Linked DNA regions of Rhinolophus ferrumequinum. The protein of the gene in region 2 interacts with the protein of the main gene of each other region in a pairwise test. Links are inferred from orthologs where the notes say so. Each region holds a gene or a part of one and is shown on either strand. Other genes may lie near its edges.

What was found.
Region 1: the proteins of SORBS3 (region 2) and EIF3H interact in binary tests that used the Homo sapiens proteins (3 or more experiments, as listed by UniProt). The two-hybrid records come from large-scale screens. The link is inferred for Rhinolophus ferrumequinum from reciprocal best matches to the Homo sapiens genes SORBS3 and EIF3H.
Region 3: the proteins of SORBS3 (region 2) and PAK2 interact in binary tests that used the Homo sapiens proteins (3 or more experiments, as listed by UniProt). The two-hybrid records come from large-scale screens. The link is inferred for Rhinolophus ferrumequinum from reciprocal best matches to the Homo sapiens genes SORBS3 and PAK2.
Region 4: the proteins of SORBS3 (region 2) and SOCS7 interact in binary tests that used the Homo sapiens proteins (3 or more experiments, as listed by UniProt). The link is inferred for Rhinolophus ferrumequinum from reciprocal best matches to the Homo sapiens genes SORBS3 and SOCS7.

The regions. Positions count from the first base shown.
Region 1 is NC_046297.1:55,676,799-55,684,544, forward strand, and holds the start of EIF3H (eukaryotic translation initiation factor 3 subunit H), read right to left. Parts: upstream 3,008-7,746; 5' UTR 2,973-3,007; coding exon 2,841-2,972; intron 1-2,840.
Region 2 is NC_046301.1:43,963,353-43,971,191, forward strand, and holds the start of SORBS3 (vinexin), read right to left. Parts: upstream 3,015-7,839; 5' UTR 2,721-3,014; intron 375-2,720; 5' UTR 323-374; coding exon 221-322; intron 1-220. UniProt on the Homo sapiens protein: Vinexin alpha isoform promotes up-regulation of actin stress fiber formation. Vinexin beta isoform plays a role in cell spreading and enhances the activation of JNK/SAPK in response to EGF stimulation by using its third SH3 domain.
Region 3 is NC_046285.1:50,985,059-50,992,517, reverse strand, and holds the start of PAK2 (serine/threonine-protein kinase PAK 2), read right to left. Parts: upstream 3,001-7,459; 5' UTR 2,749-3,000; intron 392-2,748; 5' UTR 215-391; intron 1-214. UniProt on the Homo sapiens protein: Serine/threonine protein kinase that plays a role in a variety of different signaling pathways including cytoskeleton regulation, cell motility, cell cycle progression, apoptosis or proliferation.
Region 4 is NC_046304.1:35,402,355-35,409,838, reverse strand, and holds the start of SOCS7 (suppressor of cytokine signaling 7), read right to left. Parts: upstream 3,010-7,484; 5' UTR 2,810-3,009; coding exon 1,839-2,809; intron 1-1,838. UniProt on the Homo sapiens protein: Substrate-recognition component of a cullin-5-RING E3 ubiquitin-protein ligase complex (ECS complex, also named CRL5 complex), which mediates the ubiquitination and subsequent proteasomal degradation of target proteins, such as DAB1 and IRS1.

The DNA.
Region 1 (7,746 bases), on a different chromosome or scaffold from region 2:
GACCGTTCAAGTTCAGAAATGTTTGAAAACAGCCGACAGCTAGGCCTTGGGATCTTGCACTCAGCGGAAGCTGTGTAACATGTTCGACTTCCAAGAAAACCGAAGCATTTACTTCCAGATTTACAGCGTTCGTAAACCGAAAGGTTCATCAACGGAGACGTTCGAAAACCGAAGTACTACTGTATATGTATACATATTACTCAAGACACAGGAGAACATACTATGATTTAATTCATATTTATTAATATAAATAGGCAAACCTAGACAAGTTGTTTAGGAATACACTGGTAAAGCTATAAAGAAAACCAAGAAACCACTGAAACAAAGCTCAGAAGAGTAATAGGGTGGGGAGAAGGGATGGGAGGAAAGGATGAAACAGGGAAAGGGGCTTCAAAGATATTTGTAATGTTCTATTTCTCAAACTAAATGGCAGGTGACTGGCTATATTGTGATTATTGAAGTTATGTATTATAGACACTACTTTGCATGAATGATATATTTTTGACTTTTTTTTTTTACACTTTGCTAATGTTATGAATGATCTTTTCAAAAACTAAGTTAGGAAATAGGTGGTGGCAGATTCTAATAGCAGTGAATTAAAGAAACAATGGAAGACGACCAATATAGACGATTTGTAACCACTGACTTCAAGAGGAAAAAAAGTGGGGATTAAGAATGGAACAGAGAGTGCCAAGAAAAGAGACAGAGTTGAACATTTTAATATAGGAAAGTCCTGACAAAGGTAATACTAAAGATAGAGGAAATGATGACACAAGACCAAAGGTAGGAAAGGTTCAAGAATACAAGAAAAATTGGTCTTGGCCACTATCAAGGTGCCAGGAACAAATGAGGTTAAACATTAGGTCTACCAAATAGTTGTGTGTGGCTAGAATGCACAGTTCCTAGGAAGCCTGGAAAAACTAGGAAATAAACCTAAACACAAAAAGGAGGACAACATCTTGGTGGGCCTTGAACTCAATGCAAAATCACTGAAAACATTTCAGGAAGGAAGTTAGTAAGATGTGAACTTTCACATTAAGTCAATGTTTTAATAAAAGTATGAAGGATGGACTGAAGAGGGCTAAGACAACAATCCAAGGTACCATTAAAATAATTGATCAAAGAAAAGCATCAGGACATAAACTAATAGCAGTACAAAAATAAAATGTAATCTTTTATTCATTCATTTATCCTATCTATGTCAGTGAACAGGCTCAGTATTGGGAATTACAGGTAACAAAAGCATAGTCTCTGCCTGCCCTCAGTAGCTCTCATTCTGGTGGGGGAGACACACAGGACAATTACAGACAGTGGACAATGCAATGAAAGAAATACAGGGCGGTGTGATGGAGAGTGACGGGGGGAGGCTACTTCTAACAAGGTTGTCAGGCAAAGCCTTTCTTGAGATGGTGTTATTTGAGCTGAGACCTACAGCATCAAAGGAAGCCACCAAGAGGGAAGGAATATTTGAGAGACTATTTCAGACAGAGAAAACAAAGAACTGAAAGGTCATTGTGACTGGAGCCTAGAAAGTATGAGGTGAGTGTGGAGAAAGAGACAGGAGTAGCAGGACCTTGAAGACTGTGGCAAGAAGTCTGTATTTTATTTTTTAAGTGGATATGGTTGGTGGCACACAGATGAGAAGCAGACGACTCTGATGTATTTTGAAGGTGAAACCCCAAGGATTTGCTGAGACTGGATGTTGAGGGTAAAAAAAAAGAATAAATGCAGGTGAATGCCTAGGTTTTCTGACTTATTCAAATGGGTAGATGGTAGTTCTATTTATTAAGGTGGGAGAGACTGAGGTAGGACCAATGAACGGGAGAGACGAGTGAGGGGAAGAAGTCAATAATTCTATTTCGGACACGTTAAATTTGAGGAGCCTATAAGATATCCAAATAGTGATGTCAAGCAGGCAGTTGGGTATTCAAGAGTGGCATTCAACAACCAAATCTGGTAAGAAATATAAATTCAGAATATAAATACGGAAAGCCACCAGGAGGGTCCTTAAAGAGAGTCTACTACTATAACTACGACAAAAACCAGCAGCAGCTAAGCGGAAGTGGAAACCTACTATGTCCCAGACATCGTGCTAGTTATTGACACGTTCAGCCAATTTTAATCCTCAAAACAACTCGGATGAGGAAAATGAGGCATAAAGACATTAACTTGCCCAATGTCACTCAGCTAATTAGAGGTGGGATTCAAACCCAAGCAGTGTGGCTCCAGAGGTGTGCTTTTAACTACAGTCCTTGGTTACGGTATGTCCAGCAGAGACCAGATAGAAGGAGGCTTAAACCCAAATCCTGAGGCACTCCAACATTCACAGATGGGGAAAGAAGAAACCAACATAACAGATGTTTACTCCAATTATGCTGTTTCAGGTAAAGCTCTGAACGATAGGCTCAAACGTGACTACAAAGTCAATCTCCCCTTGGGAAGTTACAGATGTCATACTCCAGCAGGGAAGCATTCGTTTACCTTCCTCTGCCCTCCCCAAAGCCCTAGAGTCCTAGTTCCTTCTCGACAGTTCCGTCACCTACTCGTCTTCCAGAGACGTCTTTCTCCAAATCCCCTCTGCCAAGCATCACAAAAGAAGACCCCAAGAATCTGTCACACACACACCCCCTTCGCCTTGTTCCCTCTATTTCCCCGTCAGATGGCACAGAAGGCTGTGGCGTCTCCCGATCAAAAGTGAAGATGAAAAACGAGGGTTTCAGCGGACAACTTTGGCCCAGCCTCACCGAGCCTAGAGGAGAAGCTGCCGGGGAGCGCTTCAGGCGGGACTGGCGTGGGAACTATGCTCCCACGTGGGCCGGAGGAGACGGAACCCCACTCACCAAGCCATCTATCTGCACTTGCTTCACGGCCGAATCTCCGGACCCGCCTTTGCTTTTGCCCTTCCCTGCCGCGCCGGCAGTGGAGCTGGAAGAGGTGGTAGCAGAGCCGGTGCCTTCCTTGCGGGACGCCATCTTTCCAGCCGGACAGGAAGAGAGAGAAACGTGAGTAATCGGAAGCGGAAGTACAAGCGATTCGTGACGTCGTGCGCAGTCTGGCGTTCGAGGGGCGGAGCTGGGAGAAAGAGCTGGCGTAGGGCCCCGCCTCCCATCTTTGCCAGCCTCACCTCTTTCCCCACAACAGAGTCCTTTGCACACGCGCATTGTGCGCTTGCGGCTTCCCCTTAGAGTCCTGTAAGAAGAAAGTAGACTTTTAAAAATGTTTTCCACTTCATGTTGGCAACTGATCATAATAGCATTATAGATCACATTTATATAAGGTCTCATGCGTAAAAATGCTTTCACTTCTAATTTTTTGATTAATCCCCATTCCCAATCTTATAAACCATGAACTGTATTAACTCCCATTACACTTATTAGGAAAGTGAGACTCGATTTATCCAACATCATTCTGTTAATTAGCCCTAAGCGGTATTGCAGTTTGTCTTATGTAATTTTAGATAGCGGTCTCTACGTAGATTATATAAAAATTAATTAAAACAGAAACTTTGATCACAATTACCAGAACTAATAGCCCTTTGCTGCTATTAGTTTCATGTAGGATGTACATAAGTACCAAGAAGTTGTTTTATGTGAAGTGGTGATGTGGAACATATTTTCTAAAAATCATGCTGACTTATCTAACACAGTTTGAAATACACATCTCAAGTCTTTAAGAGAGTAATTTGACAGTTTTAGAAAACCATCTTAGATGAATTTAAAACATTCTCCACTTCCAAATACAGTGCCTAGTCCTTATTTTTGAAATGTTTACTCATTCAATAAATACCTAGGCAGAACCGATGAAGTGGTTATACCAATGAAGGCTATTTCTTGCCCTGAAGATTTTTTATTGTGAGGGTCTGGTGTTATATTACAATCTGAAAACAGGAACAGTTACACCTGACAAAAATTCCTAATGCTACAAAGCAAAAAGTTAATATCCATTCTTTTCAAGTGCTCATGAAATTTTTATCAAAACAGACCACAACCTGGGTCACAGGGACCATCTCAACAAATTTTGAAGTGTTGAAGGTTGATTATAGTAGAATCACACTAGAATCAGTAAAAGAAAGATAGTCAAAAAGAAGAAAAACGAAGAAAATCCATCATGGAAGAACCAGAACTGGAAATTAGTGCCTATCATTTGGCAGCCGGAGTGATGAGCACCAAAAAAGCAGGTTATTTACAAACAATAATTATTGTTTTATCCTACAGCGTATATAACAGTTTTGTTTCAAAATTAGAACGCCAATATTACCACTAACAATAAAACTGGTAAGTAAAGTTTAAAGTTTCTTTGCAATATTTTTGTCCTTGGAAATATCCCACTAAGATTTTCCAGTCATGTGTGCTAATCACACTATAGGTTCTTTTAACCTGACCCAAAAAAGTGCATGTGGGCCTTCTGCTTGAAATAGTCCAGAGCCAAGAGGTACAAATACAGATGGTCCCCACCTCACAATGGTTTGACTTATGTTTTTTGACTTTATAATAGTGCAAATGTGATACACATTCAGTAGAAAGCATACTTCAAATTTTGAATTTTGACCTTTTCCTGGGCTAATGATATGCAGTATGATGCTTTCTTATGAAGCTGTGCAGTGTGGCAAGATGCACCTCCCAGTCAAGTTTATGATCACGATGGTAAACAACCAATACTCTACGATGTACGGTGTTGCCAACATCTTTTGGATATTTGGCTATTGAGCACACTTAAGATAGGCTAGACTAAGCTATGTTAGGTAGGTGACGTGTATTAAATGCATGTTCGGTTTAAGATATTTTCAACTTACAATGGGTTTATTCGGAAGTAACCCCATCACAAGTCAGTCCAGGAACATCTGAACAGAGAGAGGGAGGGACAGAGGAAGGAAGAGAGAAGAAGACCCATGAAGTAGAATTTGAAATAGAAAATCAATATGATCACCCTAACTGGAAAGGGCTAGAAGCAATGTCACTTCCTTCACTTGGTTTCCTGGTTTCCTTCCTATCTCACTGGCTGTTCCTTTCTCAATCACCAACTGCTGATTTCTCTACTCTTTCCCAGCCTTTAAATATTGAACAGCACCAGATTTCAGTCCTTATACATCTTTGTTCCCTTATCTTTATTCCCCATCATGGTGATCTCATCCACTCTCAAGGCTCTAAACTTCATGCATATGCTGATGATTCCCAAATTTATATTTCCTCAGACCTCTCCACTGAACTCCGCACCAGCATCTCCATCTGCTTATTCAACATTCCCAGTTAAATGTCTAATAGGCACTTCCGACTTAACCTTTCCAAAATTGAGCTCCAAATACTGCCGACAAAAAGAAATGTTCTTCACCCAGTCTTCTCCCCTCTCTTTTAATGACAGCTTTATTCTTCTAGTTGATAAGACCAGGACTCTTGGGGTCATCTTTCACTCCTCTGTTTCTCTCAACCACCCACCCACCTACCCACCTCACCCCATCCATCAGAAACTCCAGTAGGCTCAATCTTAAAATGTATGCAAAATCTAGACTTTTTCTGTGGGAAGAAGAAAAGCTATTTTTTCCTACTCCTCCCAGTAAGTAGATACGTCTACATCCCTGGACATTGCATATAAAAGAAAAATAAGAAGACTCTGCAAGGTGGAGGGACGAAGGAAGACTGGCTGGGGATGTTGGGACCCAAAGAACAACACAGTGGTGATTTCCCAGGGTTCCTATTTGCCACATACATCCCATACTTGGAGCTGAAGTCCAGCAACATGGAAACATCAAGAGGCACAAACAAAAACAAAACCCCCAGCCAAAGTCTGTTCGCTGTGTGCACTGTCAGTGGAGACCACGTAAGGAGTTTGAACGTTCACCCTCACCAGACAGCAATGAAACAGCAACTTCATCCCCCCAATGGAATGATGTCAGAGAAGGCCTAGTGGAGAGTCAGGATTTTACCACAGCAGTAAGGAGGCCACCCACCCCATGAAGGAAGCGTGGAGAGCAGTAAGAAGGCACTCCTACCCCTTCCATCCAGAAGGTATTGGTGGAGGCCTACTGCGAGCTGGAACTCCTATCTCCCACCAGTAACGGGAAACTATTCTTGCACCTGAGGGAGTCAATGGAGGCTGAACAAGGAACTTCTATTTGCTCCCTCATAGGGCAGTAACAGGAAGAACTCCCTCCTTCCATTGCCAGAGCTGTGTCAGAGGAAGCCAGCTAAAATAGAAGGGCTCAAAATCCAAAGTTCCTGAACAGAATACACAAAAGTCTATCAGGAAGATTTCAAACTGAATGAAAAAAAACAATCAATAGATGCCAACACTGAAATGATAGAGATGTTAGAATTGTCTGAAAATATTTTAAAGCAGCCACCATACAATTACAAACATACTTGAAATGAAATTTCAGCAAGGAAATTGAAAGTCTCAGCCAAGATATAGGAAATATAAACAGGAACCAAATGGAAATTTAGAACTTAAAAAAATACAGTAACTAAAATGTTTTATTTTTATTTTATATTTATTTTATTTTTTTAACTCAGTGGATGGGCTTAACAGCAAAATGGAAAGGACAGAGTAAAAAAATCAGTGGATTGGAGATGGAACATAAAAATTACCCAGCCTGTACAAAGAGTAATAGAATAGAAAATGATATAGCCACTGTGGGAAAGAGTATGGCAGTTCCTCGAAATATTAAACTTAGAATTACCAAATGATCCAGCAACTCATGTCTAGGTATGTACCCAAAAGCATTGAAAGCAAGGACTCAAACAGGTATTTGTATACCAATGTTCATAGCAGCATTGCATATAATAGCCAAAAGGAGGAAACAACTCAATGTCCTTTAACAGATGAATGAATAAACCAAATACAATGTATACATACAATGGACTATTATTCAGCCTTAAAAAGAAACAAGAGTCTGATACATGCTACAACATGGATGAAACTTGAAAACATTTTGCTAAATGAAATAAGCCAAACACTAAACAACAAATATTGTGTGATTCAATTTATATGAGGTATCTACAATAGTCAAATTGGTAGAGAAAGAAAGTAGAATAATGGTTACTAGGACCTGGGAAGAGGGAGAAATAAGGAGTTATTGTTTAATGGGTGTAGAGTTTCAATTTCGGATGATGGGAAAGTGGGAATTGTTGCACAATAATGTGAATGCATGTAATGGTACTGAATTGTGCACTTAAAAAGGTTTTAAATGTTAAAATTTATGTTACTTTACCACAATAAAAAAAAAGGGGAGGATTGAAAAAAAAATCCACAGAGTCTTAGGGAACTGTGGAACTATAAGAAAAAACTGTAGCTGTCCTGGCATGGAAGTCTCACGAAGAGAAAAGAAAGAGAGCATGGGTTAAAGGTATTTGAAGAAATGATAACTGCAAATTTCTCAAATACTAGGGAGAAAGTCATAACCTACAGATTGAAGAAGCTTGAGTGAACTCCAAGCAGGATACATCACACCAAGACATATCAGAGTCAGGCTTCTGAAAACCAAAGAAAAACTTTTGAAAGCAACCAGAAAGAAACAACACCTTACTTATGGGAGAAAATCAACTAGAATGAAAGTGGATTTCTCATCAGAAACCACGAGACCAGAAGGAAGTTGCATAATATTTTTAAACTGCTAAAATAAAAAGAACTCTCAACCCAGAAACCTGTATTCAACGAAAATATTGTTAAAGAATAAAAAGGAAATGAAAACATTTTTGGATGAAGAAAAACTAAGAGAATTTGCACTAGCAGACCTGCCCTAAAAGAATGACT
Region 2 (7,839 bases):
AGAAGGTTCTGCAGTAGGGAGGGAGGGATGGCTGCCAGGGCACAGTCATACCCCATGCTGAGGGCTTTGGAGCCAGCTTGACCCTTTTGCAGGAAGCCAGCGAGAGCTATCTTCCAACCCCTTCCCGCCCTCCCGTCCTTTCATCTTTGTGCTCCACACCTGTCCTGCAAGGTCCCCACCAACTAGGGGCCCACAGTCACCCTCTCTCTTGTTCACTCACCCGTGTCCCCCGGGAGGATGACCCTACGTGGGCTCGGAGGTGGCCAGGGATGAAGTCATCCAGGCTGAGCCCAGCTGGGAGGCTGCAGGGTGGGGCCTGCATGCTTGGGTCAAGGTCGGAGGACTCCGGGTGTGCCAGCTCCTCTGCAGGTCCTCTGTGGGGAAACAGGGAGGAAGGGAAAGCCTGGCTGGGCCTGGGTTGCCTGTACCCTCAGGGTGGTGGAGGAGGGGACAACTGTGGGAGAGGGTCAGGGCCAGCTGAGTGGGAGCTCCAGGACCCAGGAAACAGGCCACTGCGGGCACCCGCCTGCAGGCTGCCAGTGCCGGCTCCCAGAGGTACAATGGGCTGCTTGTTAGGCCCTGGGCAGGAGCTCCGGGTGGGAGTGGGGGAGGGGAGACCGGGCGAGGAGGAGGGGAGGCTGGCCAGGAGCAGACCTGCTGGACAAAGCCTCAGGCGGGCCTGCTGGCCAGCCCCTCTGGGGCTCTCACTGCACAGTCAGCCCGCTCCCCCATAGGGAAGGCAGAGGGAACTGGGGCAGCTGGCAGAGGAGGCCTGGGCACTCGGGACTTTGTTTCACTTCCCTCTGCCTCCTGCCCGTCCCTGTGTGAACATCCCGTCACCAGCAGGCACAGGGGTTCCTCAGGCCCAGCAAGAGGCCCTGGGCAACAGCACGGCTGCCCACCCGCTGCCCAGAAGGTCCAAGGATCCAGGGAGAGGGAGAGCGTGGGGGCGTTTCCAGGCAGCAGGAACCACTCCTTCTGAGCTCAGAGGAGTATCAGCTCCCTTTTTGGGCCTCTTTGGCTCAAACTGATGCCTCAGAGGGCTCAAGGTGCCAGTGAGGGGTGGGGGCAGAGAGCGAAGCAGTGGTTAAGAGCAATGGATTCGTGTGTGGAGGGGTGGTGCTGACACACACACACACCCCACTTTTTCCTACACCTCCAGGCTGTTTTTTCAACAGAGGGTCTTCCTGAAAGCAGCAAATCTGACTGATCAGCTGGGTTCTTTTGCCCCATGCAAGTCAGGCAGCCAGGAGATGGAGGCAGTGGGGCTGCCAACCAGGGCTTTGCCTCCCAGAGAGCGGTGGTAAGAAGCTGGTTGCTCCTCTCCTCTGCCGTTGCACTGAGCCAGAAGCAGAGTCAACCTTCGCCGCCTTCTGGGGCTCTACCAATTCTGGCATTTTTGTTTCCTTAGGCTTGTGTGTGCCTGTGGGGTCTGGGGGCTCACGGGAATGCAGCAAGGGCCTTGTGAAGTGCCATGTGTGTGTGTTGGAATGTAAGGGCAGTGCCGTGAATGGGACTTGAGGGGGTACCACGGTGTGGGGGCATGTGAATATCAAGGGGATTGTGGGTCCAGAGGAGTGTCAGCTATCAGTGTGGGGAGGGTGCAATCATACAAGCAGCACAAGAGTTATAGAGACCAGAGGGGATGCAGGTACAATAGAGGCTGTGGTTACCCAGCCCCTGAGCACGCTGGAGGGTATAGACAAGGCCATGGCAATTCCCTGTCTCTGGTCTGAGTGGGGATTCCTTCTGACCCTTGAAAGGCCTATTGGGGACACAGCTTTCCTGTGCCCACCCCTGGCTCTGGGGGGAGTAGAAGGCTGAGGCTAGAGGAGGGACAGTGCACCAGCTGGATTGAATTAGGACTCCTACCAAAAGCAAAACATGCAGACACACCCCAGTTCCTGAGGCTCTCTCTCCCCTTGCAGGGGAAACCGAGGCAGAGGAGAGTGGGAGGCCAGAGGGTCTAGGCCGGGAGCAGGCTGGTTCCTAGCACCACGCCCCTCCCTGCCCAGCTGACTGCTTAAGGCCAAGTTTCGAGGTCAGCACCAGTCTTTTCTACCCGTCAGCTGACCCAGACTCCTTCCCTGCCTCTATCTGTCCCACCCTGCTGTGCTCAGTGAGAACAGCCCACTAGCAGTAAGGAGAGGGCAGGAGGTTCCCTTACACCACTTGAGTTTTGGGGGTGGCTGATCCTTGGGGGCCCAGTCTGGCCCTCCCCAAGCTGCTCCTTGTGGCACACCCCCAAGAGACATGCAAGAGGGTGGTGGGGAAGGGCGGGCTACATTTTTCTCCCTGCAGCCCCGCCAGAGGAAATTGGTCCTGCACCTGGCAGAGGGCAGAGGGTGCCAGGAAATCTCGGGGGTCCTCCCAGAATTCACTCTGGCTGTCCTTCACCCCAGCAGCCAACTCTAAAAGGCTGGAAGAGGTAAAGTGGCTCTGCTGTGGTCAGGGACTCCTTCCCACCTGCAAGTACTGCCCTGGCTTTGGGGGCTCAGCCCTAGGTGTCTTCTCGGGTATTTTCCAGCTATGAGTCCACGTGGACAGGACAGGTTTTCTCCAATTTCACTTTTTTGTTTTGAGGGAGACTTCTCACCTCTTTCCACCCCCGAGTTTGGGGCGAGGACCCCAGGGGGCGGGCTCTGTGCCTTCCCTTCAGGCAGGTGCCTCCCTGACTGCGCCCCCGCCTCCTCTCCGCCCCCTCTTCTCCAGACACCTACCTTCCACGGCAAGCAGGTGGAGGGGACTGAGGACGCCCGGGAGGGCAGGAGCATCTCGGCCGGGCTCCTGCCTGGTGAGGCCGCGGCGGGCCCTCGGGGAGGGAGGGCAGGGAGCGGTCCGGGCTGTGCCGTCCACCCTCGTGACCGGGTCAGGACGGTCTCCGCGAGGCCGGGCGCCCGAGGAGGAAGAGGGATGGACGGGGCCGAGCGCGCGCAGGGAGGAAGGACTAGAGAGGCGGGCGGGCGGCGGTCAGCCTGCCTCCAATCTGGACTGTGAGCCGGGGGCTGGGGGGGCGGGGGCGAAGGGGCCTGCGGGGCGGGGGCTCGGGTCCGCAGCCCCAGCGAGCGAGTGGCCTCCGTCGGGGCGCGCCGCGAGGACGCTGTGGCCCCGGCCGAGGGGGCCGGGCCGGCCGCGCGGAGGCGCCGGGAGGGGCCGCCAAGGTCCCTGGGGAGCACGCTCTGGTTTCCCAGCTGCCTCCCCGGCCCCCACCGCCCGGCTGGCGTCGGGGCGGGCGCGGGGGGCGGGGAACGCCACTCAGAGTTTCCAGCGACATTTCCAGCGGGTGGGAAGGGAGCCGCTGCACGGCGGAGCCAGGACCGAGGGCACGAAGGATTAAAGAGCCGGGTCCAGCCAGCCACTGATACGGAGCCGGCAGCCCGGAGACGGGCCGCTCTGCAGACGGGCTGGTGCCGAGATAGGGCGCCCCAAAAGCGGAGGGGCCTAGCGGACCAAGGGAGGGGCCCGCCACCTCCCCCCGCACTTGGGAGAGAGATTTGGGGCCTGCGTAAGCGCGCGTCCGGGCGTGTGCAAACACACACACGCGCGCGCGGGCGCTGCCAAACCGGGCGATGCTCACACACGTGCAAGCCCCGCGGAGGACAGCCCCGGGAGGAAACCGGCCGAATGGAGCGGTCCCCCGGGCGTGGCGCGCCCCTGAAGAGGATGAGGGCGGCTCCCTTTGGCGGGGATGGGGTGACGGGGTCTTGGTGTTCCCACACACCGCATTTGTTTTGATCTCGCTGCTTTTCCGCTGTTCCCGCTGCTCTGACACCGGTCCCAGGAGCCCGCGCCCATTGGCTACCGACCCCTCTGGCCACCCATCCCTTCCCTCTCACCCCCAGGCCTCTGTGTACGCACAGAGCCTGTGATAGGAAGTGAGGGTGCTCAATGAATGTTCCCTGCTGATGGAAAGACTCGGGAGGGGAGTACTTTTAGTCCCTGGCTCGGTTGGGGAACGCCAAGCCCCCAAACAAACCAATAGCAAAGAGGTATTAGGCAATACCAGATCTATTCTGGGAGTGTTCACTTATAAATTACGAACATCTGAAAACATTTATTGCATAGGTACTGGGTGTAAGATTGGTGCCCTGAGGCCACCATGCACTTTAGAGTGTTTTCCAAGTACATTATTCAACTGAAAAGTTGAGAAGGAAGGGAATGGAGAAAAAAACTCCCTACCATCACTGATGCTATTAGCTTTATCTTTTCTCAATTCAGTGAAAAGGGCGACCTGGGTTGTGGTGAACCAGCGTGAAATAATATCACCAGTGAACAGCACAAAGAGGGGACGGACGTTTGGCTGAAGAGAAGCTGGAGAGAGAGAGAGGATGCTGGCTGGCCTCCACTGTCTGCAGGGCTGCATGTGGAAACAGGCCGGCTGAGCTACCACAAGTGGGACCATTGGGTGCACACGTGGAAGCAGATGGGAGGTTTCCAAGGAAGAGCTTTTAAATGATTACGGGGTTCTGAGTCTGGCCGTTGTGGGGCATCTTTGTAAAGGCACTTAGTGTACTGAGCAGGGAGCTCAATGAGATCCCCTCTAAGGCCCCTTCCAGGAATCTGTGATTCTCCCAGAACACTGTAGGGATGGGGAAGGGACGGTAGCTGCAGCACGGAGGGCTGGTGGCAGGGCATTTTCCTTCCTCCAAAGCTTGGGCACTTACTTCCCCACCCCTTGTCACCATCCTCTTCCCTGCCACAGAGACAAAAGATGTGCCCATTACCCTTGTCACCAGTTTTGTTCCCCACCTGTCACAGTCCTCACGACTAAGAAGGGACACATCGCGTTCGTGTTCTTCCTTGTTCTCCAAAGATGGTGACGCTGAAGTTCTTCCAACTCCAGGAATTCTGGTCATGCCCACTCTCGCCAGCAGCAAGCTTCTCTTATTCTCTAGGGCTCTGACCTGGACTCCAAGATAAATATTTAATGTAGAGGGTGCAGCTGAGCTGACCAAGGTCCCTACTTCCTGTTTCTCAAAGGAAAGTGGCAACCATGGGCAAGGAGCGGGGGACTGGTTACCAGTGTCATCTCTATGGGAATAGGGAATCCAGCAAACAGCTTTGCAGGAGCCACAGTAGGCCCCACTGGAGACCTGAGCTTTTCTCCAGAGCTGTTTTGAACCTCTGCCTGTCTACTGAGGTCTGAGCTCTGCTGGGCTCGTCACCTCTCAGCTCAGAGCCTGCTTTGCCCTGGCACCGGTGGGACTCGTTCTCCTTCCCAGAGTCTTAGGCTATGGGCTTGGCCTGAGGAGAGGCTATAACAGGGTCCCTCCACCATGTTCCCTTGGTGTCCCCCCAGCCTGATAGTATAGAGGATGAGAGATTGTATAGAGGTGGGAGCAGAGAGCATAAGGCCCCTTGACGGACATCTCCCTTTCTGCCCATAGTTAGGGAGCAGAGTCCCTCCTCTTTGAAAAGTGGGAGATTAAAGGGGAAACGTAGCAAAATCCAGAGATTTAGCCAAGAACCAGGTGTCTGATTTCTCAACTCCTTCCTCCAGCCTCAGCTCTACTTGCTGCTGGCCCAGACCGCTGGCTGGTGTGGTCAGGGAGAGCCTGTGGCTAGGGAAGGAGGTCCTAGGTGAGTGTTGTTGTTAACAACAGAGCAGACTCCTTTCATCCCGATGCCCTATCTTCCTGACTCCCTTATCTTCTAACAGGGCCCTCCCTCCCTGTGACTTCCCCATCTCTGGCACTGCCTTTTGCCAGGGGCCACCTCTGCCTTCTCAGAGCCACCTGAGCCATAGTAAACACAGTTACATAACTGCTCTATTTTCCTGGTTATCTGATCCTGGTCGGCAGTACGCCCCACCCCCACCTCCTTTTGATGTGAGGACTACACCCCAAGGCACCCACGTCAACAGAGAGGTCTGTCCACAACCACCACCCTAAGGCGGGATTAGCCAAGAGACTACCAATAGATGTGGCTCTTCCCCAGGACGGGGAGGAGAGGGTGGCTGTTCCTACAGGAATGCAGGTCACTCTGAAAACCAACCTCTGTCCCCCAGAGGAATGGTGAATGGAAATAGCACTTAAGTAGCTTTATATTGTGAGCAGGGTGAACAGAGAATTCAGTTTTATTTCTCAAGTGGGAAAAAGGAAGCAAGGGATCCCAGAAGACATACAGCTGAACTCTCCCGTCTTGGGGAGTGTCTTTATCTGTCGTGGGGAGCCTCACATTCCAATGTCACTCTCAGATCTACCTTGAGCAGCCAAGGGGTACCCTGGCTCTGTGCCTCAGCGCCCCCACACTAGACAAAGGAGGGGCATATGCTATTCCTTCTCTCCTCCTGCACAGGGATAGACTCTGTATACGCTATAGGTAGGCTTTGAGCAGGTTTTTATTTGTGCTCCCAGAGATTGTTCTCTTCCTGCCAGGGGAACTGAGTGAGCGGAGCAGAATGGATTAGCAAAGAAAGCACTGTCCCTTTAGAGGAGTTGAGACTTCTCTAGAGAGAAAGACCACAGTGAGCCGACAGAGAGCAAGTGAAACAATAGTACAAATCTGGACCATGTTTCATCCCCTGGGTTTCATCCTCCTGGGGTTTTCTCTTGATTCGAGCTCCTGCTAATGCCAAATTCTTCTGATGGCCGTCTATGCCAAAACCTCATGGGGACAGAAGCAACAGAAGAGGAACACAAAAGATCCACTAGGAGACTTAGAAGACCCTCCTAAGCTGACAACAGCATGACCTGGGACATCTGGAAACCAAGATTTTCGGTATAGTCACTGTAAAAGTAAGGGATCTCTGTGATGAAAAAATACCCAGTCCAGGTGGAGTAGGGGCCGGGCAGCCAGGCTGAGGGAGCGGATCCCCGTGGGAAGAGAGAATGCGGCTTGCGGGCCTGCCTCTCACAAACGTTTCCACACATACACGTGACGTAACTAGGATCTATGGGGTCGGGCCTCTCAGCGTCAATCACATGGAAATCCCAAAGGTGTGAGAGAACGTGGCCTTTTGTCCAAGTATCTAGTCTACCTTCAAGGAAGCCTTTTCACTAACGTCACAGCCACTCTTCGCTGGCTCTCTCCCTCCCTGTAGAGATGAGCAAACTAGCACAAGGCGCAGCTGGGGTGTCTTTGAGAAGAACTGAGCTGGATGGACCTCTTTTAGTTCTCAGGAAAGAAAGAGAGAGCAAGTGCTTGTCAGCTCTTTAGAAAGCAGATTTTTATAAGGCAAGGATAAATAAGCGATGACCTCAGAGGGAAAACTCGGCCAAGTTAACTCAGCCACGAAAGGCACACAGACCAGGAGCTGGAAAACTAGGTCTGCATCACCCTTCTTCCCTAGTGCAGATAACTGAGCCGAGGACAACGAGAGCGGGGAGTCGTGGGCCAGTGGACACCGCGAGGTCGTGCTCTGGCCTCCGAACAAAGAATAACCTTGTCTTCCCACCTCCTTGAATTCTATGATGAGCCTGCTGATCGCAGCAACATGAAAGACACCGCTACCTCATGTACCACTCAGTTATTAATCCACTGCAGCCAAATGAAACAGACTTTCTTTCTAAAGCCTACAAGTCATGATACAAAAACAAAAAGACCACGCAATGACATATAGCAGCCAAGAAAGTGGGGATTAAATGTAGGTGGAGTGAGAGGTAAATGTGAATTGGCACTTGAGTTCCTAATTTCCAGGCTTAAAACAAAACTGTCTTTCCACAACGCTGGAAATAAAGAGTAAATATTACCTCATTTTACTGAAGGTTTAACTGAGGTGTAAGGACACAGTTAAGTTGGGACGCTATTTATTGGGAAAGGTCCTAAAATGTACACTCAGCTTATTTGAAATTAGAAATCTGGACTCGCTTTCCAGCCTATAAATTGGCCCTTGATGTC
Region 3 (7,459 bases), on a different chromosome or scaffold from region 2:
TTTACCTGCATTATCTCATTTGCCCTACATAACCCTATGAAATTTGTTATTATATTATTATTATTATTCCCATTTTACAGATGAAAAAAATCAAGTCTTGAAAAAGAATGTGTATCTTGCCCAGGATCAAGCAGAAGAGCCAGGATTCCAACCCAGGTCTCCGGCTCCTAACCGCCTTAACCACCTGGGGTACGTGGGACAAGCATTAACTTACCTCGGAGATACTAGTAAGCTAGAATGCAAATCCCGTGTGAGTGTTCAGATTGACTACTCTTAATCAGGTTAGTGATCCTAAAATGAAGATGCAGTGTCACTCAATTCTGATCACAGAAGAAAACAATCAGTATTTCTTCATGGCAATAGGAGCTATTTTTTCCTTCTCTTTCTGCTTCTGCCAAGGTACAAGAAGGATAGGAGAGACAACTGAGATCTGTGAGTAACGTAACACCTTCCCTCTGATTAATCTGAAATCAATTAGCCCTCCAACTAACTGAAAGGGCTTTGGAAAATAAATTGATCAGAAACTTGAAGACTTAAAGCCTTAAATAAGGCCCACTTTCAAGTTTTCATCAAAAGTACAAAATATAGAATTCCAAAAGGAACATTGTATTTTAATATTAGAATAATCAATATTGACAGATTAAGCATAGGAAGGATTTAACAGTACCTACTTATTTTATCCTTAGCTATTTGAACAAGATCTCTTTTAAAAAAAGTATAATTGCAAGTTTATCCTTGGCTACCTGAACAAGTTCTAAGTTTTCTCTTTTAAAAAGTATAATTGAAAAGAAATATACACCACTGTTAACCACATCTTGGAAACGGGCCTATCGTAAGCATCAGAGAAACATAGGAACCCCTATTCATTTGTTTAGTAGATATACTCCAACTACAAACTTACTGTCGCTTTATGAATTTGAATTCACAAGGTTAGTATTCAATGTCACAAAGTCCAGAACAACTCTTTCTTTGAATAACTGGTAAGCAGGAATCAAGGCCCTAAGTGAAGCACAATACCCAGGAGCTCTTCCTTAGTAAAAGTATCGGCTTATGGAAAGAACTGGCAGAGAAGCTCTCATCACAGACCAAGTTTCACTCTAACATTACTATATCTTAACACCTTAGGCTAAGCAGACCTCCCATGAAGTTAAGGACAACTGACACTACCAAATGTTGACAGTATTGAAGCTCAGTACTAAGCAATTTTGGTAACAATGTACTATTTAGTGGAAACAAAAAATTCACTGAATTTAGGTTAACCTCTTTCACCAAAACCTGAAAGTGGGTTTAAGACCTCCATATATTACAGGTCAAAAACATTTTGAGGTTCACTTTTCACACCGTAAATCAGTGTTCTTGGCTAATTAATAGGTAGAAAGGTTTAAAAGCCGATGATGAAAGAACTGCCTTAAATCAATACCCTTAACAGAATATACACAAAGCTTTTCATTTATATGTATTTTTTCATATATATAAAATATATAGAAGTGACTACGAGTGTGTTTTACGAATGCCACAGAACTTCTGGCAAAGCTGACAAGTTCTAACCTGCTTTAAAAATTACTATTCACTGCCTTCATCTCAATCTTACTTCATTTAATGTTATTCTTTTGGATAACCCTACAAAAACAAAACCCCCAGAGCAAATTCTTGTATATTTCAATATCCTGCCTACTTATAAGAGCGGAAGAGTCAAACAGAGCAGGGGGAAAAACGTGACGTGCACAACCTTGATCCAAAACACAGCTTCTCGGAGTCTAATTTTAGGCCTAAGCATTTTAATTGTCTTTTTACACAGGTTAAAAAAGAAAACTATAGATCACTTGTGAAGTGGAACTGTGATAATTGTGTCAATGGGAGTTGACAATATTTATCAAGGAGGAAACAAATCACGCTCACACTGCCCAGAGTAACCCCATTAAAATTAAGATACAAGAATGGGCACAACCCCACACCAACTGACAATGGCAATTACTTTTCACACTTCAGTTACTGAATGACTTTATCTTTAAAGAATTGGCCAAAAGTTGAGCCCACGGAGGAATTTGTGGGAGCGTTTTGTATGTGTGTGCAGTTTTAAAGAAAGCCAAACATGGTTAAAAGTCAATTTTCACCTAAATTACCTAAAGAAGCAAATATTCACCTCCTGGCTGAAGATCAAATAAGAATCACGAGAAGATCCGAAAGTTCTGAAGTGGAGGCCCTCAAACCCCAGGAAAACTGTACGTTTTTACTAATGTGAAATATGGAAATTACAGATTATACTTTAGAAAGAGTAAAGAGCCTTAGACAATATGCTTGAGCAGTGAAACGGGATGAACAGAGGGGTAGAAAGGAGGAGCTGGGACTCAGTGAGAGAGGAAAAAATCGGGAAATAAAACTCAAGACGTCTGGTTGAAAATTAAAGTAAACGGAGAAAAAGGAGGAGGTTGAAACGCAACGGAAGGCAGACAGAGACAGGGCAGAATCCGTGGCGACACGGTTTAGGGCAGGGCTGGGTTCAGGAAGAGTGAGACCTCACCTGCCCAGCCAGCTTCCCATTTCGGGCTTAAAACGGAGAAAACAGCCCTAGGGAGCAGACAATGAGCCACCGCCCCAGAAGTCGCGGCTGCAGGCACGCAGGTGGCGGCTGCCCCGGCCCTGCGCGGGGCAGGTCGGCTGCTCCGGGCCGCTCGAGCCTGCCAGGCCGCGGAGAAGGAAGAAGGAAGGAGAGAGATGGCCCGCGTCCCGGCCTGTCTGCACACTTACCCCAGGCGAGGAAAGGTCCCCGCCCCAGCGAGGCGCCTCCGTCCGAGCTCCCGGCGGGGTCCGGAGCCGCCCTGGGCAAGCGCGCGGCTCGCGGCGGGAAGGAGACGGAAGGGGAAGGGGGACGAGAAGAGGAGCCGCGCTGTAGCGCAGCCGCTGCTACCGCTAGGCCGAGCGGCAGCCGAGCCCCGCAGGCGCCGGGAGGGGAGGGCAAGGAGCCTTCGGCAATGGCGACGGCCCCGGCCGGAGGGGAAGCGGAACAACCGCCGCCGCTGCGCGTGGCCACAACCCTGGGGGAGGGCGACGGCGGGGAGCAAGGAGGAGCGAGGCCACGGTACCACCCCTCCCCACCCGAAGCCTGGAGCTCCACGGGGCGGAGACGGGCACCGCTCTCCAATGGGCGGGACTCGCGTGGGGCCTGCTGGGAGTTGTAGTTTGGAGATGTGTACTGCCTCCCTCTCCCTCTCCCTCGTCTTCTAGCCTCCCCCTCCTCTTTTGGTCTTTACATTAAGAGCACGCCAGTCCTTCACTTAATTCAGCATTGTCTCCAGGTCTGTGCTAACCAAAGATGCTGACAGATATTACTGTTACATGAATCTGCTCCAGGACATTTGTTTCTGGGAACTCATCCATTATCCATTTTGCTTTTTACCTACAGACTTACTATTATTTTGCTGCTAAATTGAGCTCCACCTCCTTACAAATTGAAGTGTCCATGTTTTATCCTTGGAGGCGTTATCAATGTATTCACTAATTCTATGAATATTTGAGTGTCTACTATGTACCAAATACTGTTAAGGCATCAGGGATACAAGGGTGAACATGACTCACTTTGCCTTTGTGGAGCTTACAAATATGAAAACACAATAATTAAAATAATGATGTCTGGTATAAGGAAAAAACTGGGGAGGTTTCTTTGGATGGGGTGACCACAGAAGCCAAGGAGGTGACATTTAAGCCAAGAACAGAGCGAACTAAGAGAAGCACCCGGAAAAAGATTACAACCAGAAGGAGGAAGAAAAGGGCTTGCTAAGGTCAGTTAAGAAGGCCTTGTAGCTGGAGCTTAGGGCAAGGAGGACAGTGTAGAATGAAAACATTAGAGCAAACAAGACTCAGGTCAGGAAGGATCTTGAAGGCCATGGTAAGGAGTTTTAAGCAGGGAAATAATGTTATCTGGTTTACACTTTAAGATCACTAGATTGCTATGTGGAGAATGGAATATAGAGATGCAAGAATAGAAGGGAAATGAACTAGGGAGGCAGTAATCATGACTAATACTAGGAAGATACCAGTGGAAATGTATAAAAGTAGCCAGATTGTGCTTATCTAAGATGTAGAGCAAAAAACTTAAATTATATGGAGAATACAAGAGAAAGGAATTAAGAAGAAATATGGCACACTATTACATAACCTGAAAAACAGTCCCTTATTAAACACACAGAAATTCTGGATAAAATAGAACATCCTTTCAAAGGTATAACTAAGTTTCCAAGAAAGAAAAATATATCCCTGATGTCTTTCAAACTCCACAACTCAACCCAAAGAGGAAGCAAGAAACCAGTGTGATGAGTAGGGCACTGAAGCCATGGTGGTGTTGAGGATATCTATTTAATCTCAGAAATCTCTAAGGTTTTACTGGCTGCTCAAGAGACAGGAGACCAAAGATAAGGCCCCGGCCTGTACATGGAGTTAGGACTCTGATCCTGCAAAAGGCTGGGAAACTTAAAGCGCTACATCCTCCAAGAACAGACTTGGGGGAAAAAAGTTCCCTACCAACCCATGGAGACAAGCAAACATTTCTATGTTTTAGCTTGGACTTGGCATGGAGGGGAAAAAATTTCCCTTTAGAATTCATAACCACAAACTTTCCCTCACATGGGTTTGAAAGTTCAAATTTATAGTTCCTACACTGCCCAGGAAACCTCAAGTCAAGAAAGCGGTCCCAAGCTAGTAGTACTTAGAGGCCTGGACGAAACAAATATAAATCCTCACTGCACAGGTTCACTCTCAATCCAGGTCTGAAAGGATTTCCACAGATAAACAGGGTATCAAAAGCTAAACATGAGCACCAAAAATATAATTACAATACACCTGAGTTAATAAGCTAACAGACACCACACACAGAATAATGAAGCACATGAACTTTGGATATTGGAATTACTGGTTACAGAATATAAAAAGTTTATTAAAATGATTAAACAAAATAAGACATGAGCAAAAAACAAGAAACTTTTTTTTAAATGACCAAACAGATTTGAAAAGGAACCAAGTAGAACTTCAAGAAATAAAGAATATAACAATTGAAACCAAAGCCAATGTCTGGATTAAATAGCAGATTACACACAGATGAAGAGAAAATTAGTAACTGGAAGACAGAACTAAATAAATTACTGAGAGCAGCCCAGAGACAGAGGAAATATGAAAGATTAAGAGACATAAGGATAGATTGTGAAGCCTAATGAGAACTCCAGGAGAGAGAAAAGTAAACAAAGGAGCAGTATATGCTAATAGCTAAGAATTTTCCAGACTTGATTAAAGACAAGAACCTTCAGATTCAGGAAGCAAAGTGAATCCCAATCACGATAAGTAAAAGAAATCTTCTCAAACAAAGTGAAACCGAAGAATACCAAAGATAAAACAACCAGAAAGAAAAGACGTACCCTATAAATAAACAATTGTTAAATCTACTGCAGATTTCTCAACTGCAACAATAGGTGCCAGTTGACAATGGAAAAATATTTTCAAAGTACCAAGAGAAAATAACCAAACTTAGAAGTGTACACCTAGCTAAATTATCAGTCATATGAGTGAGGGTAAAATAAATGTATCATCAATCAAAAACAAAGATGTTACCAACAACAGAGATCTACTAAAGGAATTATTTAAAAAGATATACTTCAGGAGGAAAGTATTCCAGAAGTAAGGGCTACGATGCAAGGAATCAAGTAGCTAGCTAAACCCACCATCCTATCACTGATTAGGACAATCCTGAAGAGCATACTTAGTCCATATTATTTCATTCCAACTAATGGCCAATAGCATATTTGTAAGTTTAGGGGATGATACAGACAGGTGTTGGTCACCTCACTCTAATTTCTTTATCTCCATATCATGTCAATCAGCATCACTTATCAAAATATAGATGAGTAGTTTGAAATGAAGTGAGTATCTGACTAGGATAATCCTTAAACTCATTATTTTTAGAAATAATTAGAGCTTCAATAGATGTATCTAGTTCCCAAGCCACATATGTACCATTAACCATGAAATCTACCTACAATATCTAAGTTCCTGGTGGAGTGGCGCGCACACACACACACACACCTGCCCCCCACACTTAGTTGAGGTAATCTGTGTCACTATTATTTTCATCCAAAAGTATGTAACACAATAGTTTAAGAAAAATAAATCATAAAAGTGTAATACTGGAACTTAATACCAAGAGAACAGTACCCACTTTCTTAGCCTTAAAACAAAAAGACCATATAGATAAATACAAAACTGATTTTAAAAAATGAAGTGCTTATTCATTTTTTAAGTATCCAAAGAAGCTAATATAAATAGTTCCAAACCAGAAATGTTCTGTTCTGTTAAAAGTGATGTTATCTGCAACCATTTTTTTACACTTCTGAATATCGGTATAAATGAATCACATTCTAAGTCACCATTTCAAATGTTACTTGGAAACTTGTTGGAGTACTGATGAAATTTGGTTCTGATGTGCAAAAGAATATATAGATTCTCTCTCTCTCTCTGTCTCTCTCAAGAGCTCATACAGTACCATGTTAACCCCACCGATCTAACCATATTCTAAAATGTTGTCAATGTTACTGAATTTTAACTGACACATAATTCTATTTCAATGCCATTATATTATTCCATTGTGAAAGAAATGCTTGTAAAACATGGAATTCTTTCTTGTAAGAAATCACTAAAGATATGAAACTAGACTGGGTTGAAATTTTAGTCATTTTAAAGATGTTGAATATTTCTGCTTTATGGCATTGGGTTACCTTTTTCAATACTTAAGTTCTCCAACACATCTTCAAAAATAAGTGTTATGACTAGTCAAGCTGTAGATGTCAAATTATGGAAGATTTATTCCCATAAAAACAACATAATGTTTTAGGAAATTAAGCAGTAATTACATATGTAAACATGTATCACATCCCATTACTCATTTAAAACAAACAATTCCAACATATCCTGGTTTAATGGCTTCTGTTTTGGGGCACACCTACCCTAAATAAGTTGCCCCTAAATAAATAGAAGGGCATGCCTGCCCTTTTATTTTTTAATTAGCTTATATCACTTACTTTATTTTTTAATTTTTTCCAAAGAAAACCAGTGAATCAAGATCTTTTGTTTAAAATAAGAATCACCTGAAGATATAAAAAAGACTTTTTGTAAATGTACAACTTAATAAAATATACTTTAAAATGACAATCTGAATTGTCTTCCTGACAAATTTAGTACTAAATGAGAAATCTTAGTACATAGTTTCATCAAACCCTTTGTTAATTCATATATTCAAAAGAGTATAAAACATAGGAGAATGGAAGTATTTTAAGGAATAACCAATTTTGATATTAATAATTGCTTAGCTGTTCTACATAATGATTTTCTTTGATTCTCTGGACAATTTCAATATTCTAATAAAATTAGCATTTAAATACTGATTCATCCAAATTATTTTATTCTTATTTATAATTAT
Region 4 (7,484 bases), on a different chromosome or scaffold from region 2:
CCCATTCTCTGTCCAACCAACATGCTGCCTCCTAACAGCAGTCAACCAAACGTTCGTACACAAATATCTAGCTCTTCTCCAATTCATCAGAAAAGCCCCTGGACCAAAAAATGTAATTCTCCAGTGCCCTGAACTAAGCTTTGCAGAGCAAGAGCCCAATTTGCTCAGCAGCAGCAATCTGTATTGTGCTTAGTGGGAGGGTTGGTGACAGAGCAGCCAATGACCATTAAATTCTGCTTCCAAAGGCAAAAACCCGTATAATGTTATATGACTTTTCCTCTTCCTAATCTATTAGATGGAGCAGCTAATTTCACGCCACACCTCATATTTGGCGGTTCTAGAATCTTAGACCAAGTCCTGGTCAATATGGAACAAAGGCAAGACAGACCACAAGAAAATTAGTAATCTATCCTATGTCATTACCCACAGCTTCAACCCTGCCCTCCCCCATCGGATGAAAATTTCATCTATGTATTGGTTAAGCGGAGCATCGAATGCAGAGCCTACAACAACAAAAAAAGCTGTTTTAGCAGCCACACACTTTTCAAGATCTGAGCATGAATTCACTGGGAGGCAAATGCAGAAACACAGTTCTACCAGAAAGGGCACCACGCATCAAAGGACTGGTTTGTTTAGGGAGTTTGGGTTTGATCCGATTCAAGATGAGTCCCTGGCACAGATGTTCAGAAAGGGTAGCAAAGCCAACCTGCCCTCACACTTTCCTTTTGGAGCATCCAAACTCCCGTGAAAAGAGAAGGCCATGGGTGAATGGTTCCCAGTCCAGGTCACACTTCAGGATCAATGGGGGAGCTTTTTAAAAATTCAAATTGTTGGGCCATCAGACATACTGATCTTTTCCCCAAAGCTCCCCACGTGATCCTGGTGCACAAAGTTCTCAATTTATTCATCTACCTGTTCTTCAGCCTTGGGCTGTGTCTCAAGAATCTATCACATGAGCTGCACCAAAACCACTTCCAATCTTTCTAAGAATCCATTCAGCAGCACCAACTACAATGGCAGTTACCACAAGGGAAGTCTCCATTTATGGACACAGAAGTTGACAGCTTTCTAAATCAATAAACAGATCTAACACTGGAGGGTCAGAGAGCAGTGTACCCTTCAGCAACGCAGGAAAACTCGACGTCTAAGTTTGGAAGTTTCATCAATTGGCCAGAACTCATGCACCAGTGCCTATCTATGCCTCACACTCTCACATGGGCTTGAGAGCAAAGCTATTTTCCATGCTCACTGACAGCGGTCAGCACACAGGATTGAGATGCCAAGTACCTCTAAGAGACCAATCAAGAAAACATCAAAACTCAATAGAGAGGCCCAATTGATTGTGGGCCTGCAACTGCACGAGTTCCTCACATCATTTGTATGCATCAGTGTGAAAGAGGTGGGATGCTGGTAACAGAAAGAGTAATAAGCAAGGTGGCCAAAATGCAACACCAATTTTTTGTCCCAAAGACCAAACATTTCCAGCAACCTCCCTGCCAGGGGTAATGGTAGAGAGACATCTTGCAAAAACTTTAAAAGCTGGGCCAGGGGAGGGGAAGGGGAACGGTTTCAAATCATCTCTGAACTAGAGAGATGCTAATAACCAGCTGACAAGTGTCCCAGGGAGTGGACTCTTAGAGTGAAAGCTGTCTCCCATAATTAATTAGCTCTGACCTAATGAGCTATGTCACCACCTTTAGCCCCAAGTCTCTGCCTCCTTATGAAGGCCATATCATAAGAACTGTCAGGATCTTGTTAGCAGAATAAAAGGGAAATGAAACAAGAAAAGGAAGTTTGTCAGCCAGCCCCACCCCCACTCACCCCCCAGCCAGTCTCACCTCCCCGCGTCCAGCTCCCGGCCGGCGGAGCCTCCCACGTCTGTCAGGCTCGCAGCTGAAGCAGCCAGCTCTCCAGAAGGCCTCTTGCTGGCTCCATCCCCACCACCAGTGCCACCGTTGCAGCTCTTCGTGCGAAAGAGGCGACTGAGGCGGATTTTGAGGGAGCCCTTCCGCGAAGGGCCTGCGAGTGGCCGGAGGGGTCCGGGCGGGGGCGGGGGCGGGGGAGGCGGCTGCTGCTGCTCCCCTCTACTCAGGCGCCCTGGTGGCACCAAGTCCTGCAGCGGTAAGGGAACCAGGGGTAATTCGGGGCCTGGGGGCTGCAGCAGAAGCCGGCCGCCCCCTCCTCCTCCGCGGCCCGGGCTGCTGAGCTCCTCTTCCGAGCAGCTGTTAGTCTCCAGGCTCTCGGCCTCCGATTCCAAGCCCTCCAGGACTAGCAGCGCGTCGCTCGTTTCCGTGGGATCCTCCCCGGCCTGCGGGGCGGCAGCAGGCGGTTGGGGCTGCGGAGGGGACGGCTGCGGGGGGCACGGGCACGGGCAGCAACCCCCACCGACCGTCTTGACCGCCGGCCCCGCCGGCTGCCCGAGCCCCAGAGCCGCCAACTGCGCCTCTAGTCCAGCAGCCGGGCCCCAGGTCCGCTCGAGCGCCAACCCCGGGGGCAGGGCCTTGGGGTCCAGGGCACAGCGGTGCCGGGGACACAGCAGTTCCGAGGGTCCCGGCTCCGGGGCCGCCTCGGCGTCCTCCTCCTCCGGCGGCCGACCCACGTTGCGGAACACCATCAGCTGCGGCGGCCGGGAGCCCCGCGGACCCGGCCGCGCGAGGAAGGGTGGCGGCGGGGGGCCATGGCCCGGGGGCGGCGGCGGTGGGCCTGGCTCGGGGGCCGCCTCTCCATAGCCGAGCAGGCGGCTCAGGACACGGTACGAAGCGGCCGCCGCCGCCGCCGCCTCGCCATCCCGGAGCTCGGGCCCCTGCATCGGAGAGAGGGAGGGAGGGCGGGCGGCTGGGAGCCGGGCTGGGGTGGGGACTAGGCCGAGCCCCGCCGGAGCCCCGCCCGCCACGGGCCCCGGAGCGACAGCGTTAACGGCCGCCGCGGCCTCTGCCTCATAGAGGGGGCGGGGGGCGCGCGGAGCCCAGCGCGAGCCCAGGCCGCGCGCCGCCGCCGCCGCCGCCGCGGAGGACCGCCCACGGATGGCGTCACTTCCGGGAGGCGATGATCACGCCCCTTTCCTCCGGGTGTGCTGGCGCGGGCCTTCACGGAGCGTGACGTTACGCGCGGCCTGGGCAGCTATTGGCCGCGAGCTGCTTTTCGCCTGGTTGTTGGTCTCCTGCCCCGACCCTTGCTTTTCACTTCCCGGGCGCTCAGGCAAGAGCCAGCCCTCCGGGTAAGATGGAGCGGCCCTGGGAAGCGCGAACTGGTCCTGGGAGAGCTGCTGGCTTTGGGAGTTACTCTGGTTCTGGTCCCGCCTGTGCCGCTTGTGATGTGTGACCGTGGCCGTGTCATTTCTTCATTGACAGACTATCCCCCTGGCATCTAGTGAATATTTAGGTAATGACATATGAATAATGTATTCTAGACCCAGTGGTGTGCTGATAAATATTGGACAGCTCTGGGGAAAAAGGAAAGGGGCGTATGCATATATACTGGTACATACGTTTATCAAATTTAACTGATGATTTACAAAAAATAATATACAATTGAAAATTCCACGTAACCAAGAGATTCTCACAGAATACTTTCCTTGATGTTTGCCTCTTGAATGGGTTTCAGTTGACCAAGGAGTATAATTATGACAAGAATGTTGGTTACTATTTTCTTCTATGTCAATGTAAGAGGAAAGTTCAATTTTGGGAGTGACTTCTTTGCTGAATCAGAAAACAGTTTTCAAATACTGAAAGAATATGTTCTCAATTTTTGTGCAATCCACAGTGTAATAGCTGCAGAGGTCAAACATTAAATTTAAATCTGAATAATGAACATTTTCTCCATCACATTCTTAAATCTAGATAATCAACAAAACAAATCAAGGTCCTGATTTGTAGGGTTTGCCAATTTCCATGGTGTAAACACTGCCTCCATGGTAATTTCAATCTACCAATCTGACTCTACTGAACACGAAGTTAGAGGTGAGCAATAGCAAACTGTAATGTAGTAGTTTCATCATATAGAATAACAACCCCAAGAGCATAGGTAAATAGTGAAATTATTAAGTGATGAGTTTTGAGAATTTATTACCTTTGTCTTTAATATCACTTATTTAATTATAAATTTGTATAACTTAATTTTTAACAGTGGCTGTGTTTAACAACTGGCTTGCAAAATTCCTGAAATTTTAATAATTGGCTTTCAAAAGCCTGTCTGAACCAGCTCCGTAGTACTGTAGTTTTCTCATCTGCAAAATAGGGATAAGGATTGCTCCTTTGTTTATTTGCAGACATGTTGTGAAGATCAAATAAGATCAAGTTTGTTGTGTAGAGGAGGTTGGACTGGAGGCAGGGAGACCAGTTAGGAAACCATTGCAATCATCCCATGAAAAATATTTAGGGCTGCAAGGGACAAAAAGGAAGGAGCAGCCAGCAGAACTTAGCAACTTTGGTACCTGAGGGTGCATCGAAGGGAAGAGGGTGGAGCGTCTACTATGAGTCCTGCAGCCAGAGACACCTTTTTAAAATGGACATTTGTCCACAGTCCGTGATTATAATGGTTTCCCGTTTTTCTTAGGTTAAAGACAAAACTCTTTAAAGAGCCCTCTGACATCCCCATTTTCCTCTCCTCTGCATTTCCACTAGCCCTGTGTCAAGCTTGCCACATGTGGCCATTGCACAAGCTATTCCCTTTTCTTAAAAGGCTGTTTCCCTCTCTTTTTGCTCAATAAACTCCTATGCATTCTTTAGGTTGAACTCACTGCTCTCTACCTCAAGGAAATCTCCCTGCCTGGGCACTTCCTTCTCACCAAGCCCCAGGACCACACTCCTTTGTTTCACTTAATTGCATAGATGTAATTTATCATTGATCTGTGGGGTTATTTGATTAAAGTCTGTCTTCCTTACTAAGCTGTAAGCTCCCTGAGGGCAGGGGCCACGTTTGCCCATCAGGGACTCTCCAGTGCCAAGGACTGTGCCCAGCACAGAGTCGACCCTTGATAATAAGCATGGAATGCTTATTCAACCTCACACCGTGTTAGAGGCTCCTGAAACAAATTCATCTCTAATTCAGCACAACAGCATTAATATGCTTCCTTGCCCATGGAGAAACTGAAGCTCAGTTATTCACCTAAGATCACATAGTTCAGAAAGGTACAGTGGTATTCAAAACCAGCTCTGACTCCAAAGATTTTATTCTCTACCCTCTCTCCCTCAGTTACCTCTCAGAAGTCACTCAGGTTTCTGGACAAATGAGAAACTGCTATAGGATCACAAAACACCTGAGTCCTAAGAAGACCACCCAAGATCCCTGGCTGTGTCTGTAAAACTGGCCGGTGAATGCAAGGTCTGTAGCTCTGCAGCGCCCTCTGCTGTCCAGCTACTTTTTTGGCCCCAGAGGGAGACTATGTCCACCACCTGGGATGTATCTCCACCTGCCCAGAGCACACAGAGGCACAGGAGAATGCACACATGCTCTTTCTAAGGCAGGTTAAGGAATGCTGCCTTTCTCCATGCCCTTAAATGTCCAGATCTGTAGCCCAGATCCTAGAAAAACCATCGAAAAGTAAGCTCCAAGCAAAGGAAGTATATCTTTGTATGAGTTGGATGGGTGTGTGTTTGTTGAGCAGGTTGTGTGTCCACACAAACCTTTTTCACTGAGGGCTATATAAGTAGTCCCTGCAGTGGGAGGATCCTAGTTTAAAAGGTTTGTGAAGAGCAATTCAGAGAGTCTAAACCAGTCCTGAGGTTCACTTAGTCATTCAGCAGTGAACCAGGCTTTGGGGGTGCAGTGATGAGTGAGTTAGGCCTCGTTTCTGTCCCTCTGGAGCTTGCCATCTAGTTTGAGTCCTAATCATGCCATTTCCTGGATGAATGACCAAGAGCAAATAACTAAACATCTTTGAACGTGTGTTTCATTTGTAAAATTAGGTCAATCATAATTCGCCCCTCATGCAGGGCTGTAGCGAGGATTAAATGGAAATTTACATGTGAATGCTTAAACACTATACAAATGTTAGTTGTTATTATTATGAAAAGCTTCTTGGGGGGAAAAAGACAACTTACTATTATGTATTCACCCAGTGTGTTTTGTTGGCCTTCATCTAACCCACCATAGCTGATAATACGAAGAAAGTGGAATGGGTCACTTGCCCCCTCTGTCCCTCTCTGTTAGCACACAGAATGAGACAGGCCAAGGAGAGAGCTGTGGATGTGTGACACAGGTCTGACCTTATGACCACTCACTGGCTTTGTGGCTTTGAGAAGGTCACTTTGCTGACATTCAGTTTCAGTTTTAGTTTCCTTCTCCATTAGAGAACTGTCTGGGCTGTAGGCATTTCTAGTTCTGACACCCTAGGAATTCTGCTGGAGGTTTGTCCTCTAGCCCTCTTCTCGTCCTCCCACCCCTTACAGTCCCACTTAGGGTTCCAAAGCAGGATTGTTTGCAGAGGCCACCTGTAAAGCAAGGGAAGTTTTTAGCAACCACCACCCGTCCCTTGCTACTCACACTCAGTGACCTGGGACATCAAAGGTTATGGGGGAGGAGAATAGAAGGAGCCAAAAGACAGCATGTATATATGGGGCCAGATTGCGGGGTGAGTGGGGAGTGCATCTGCTATGGAAAGGTGATGGACGAGGGAAGGGGAAGAAGGCAGGGGCTTTGTTCTGTGGCTGCCTGCAAGAATCCACACCCTTCTGATCCAGGGAGGCTGCCTGAGATGATGCTAACTCTGGGGCTCCAGTTATCTTGTCCAACAGAGGGAAGGGCAGAGCCATAAGAAAACCGGGAAGAGCCAGAGGGCTTAGGCACAGGTTTCACAAAGAAAGAAGACAGGGCTTAGGATGACAAAATGAAGGTGGAAGCAGAGGCAAAACTTTGTTCATTCTCTTCTCCTTCCCCATCCTCCCCCTACCCCTTTGGCTGTGGTTGCTGCTCTGTGGTGCAGAAGGAGGGGTCCCCTGGTGGAGACTCCCTTTCTGTCACAAAAAGCAGTGTGGTCCCAGGGAAGTCCCCTCGCCTCTCTGGGCTTGATCTACTCCTCCTTAATCCTTAAGGTCTCTGAGGTTGAATAACACAGTGGTGGTGGTGGTGGGGAGTCAGAGCTCAGGGTTTGAGTCTCAACTCAAAGTGAGCAGCTAGGCGATCTTGGGAGAGTCTGAGCCTCAGTGCCTGCATCTGTGAAATGGGGATAGGAACATTCATCATATGTAGTTGTGGGGAAGATTCATTGAGATAATGCACATGAAAAACACTTTATGAACTGCCACAGTCTGTACAAAGATTGATTATGGTTACATTAGGCTCTTTCCCACCCTCGCCATCCCCAATCTCAAATTCCAGTTTGGCAGCCTGGTGTCAGAGGGGTGCAGGCAGCCAGAGAAGACTGCCAGGAGATGCAGCTTTGTCCTTTATCATGCCCCTCGCAATTGCTGCCAGGAGGCTAAGTGGAGCAGAGGGTGGAGAGAGGGGCATGGGCTCATCTGCGGTTGCTATGGCGCCCCATCCTG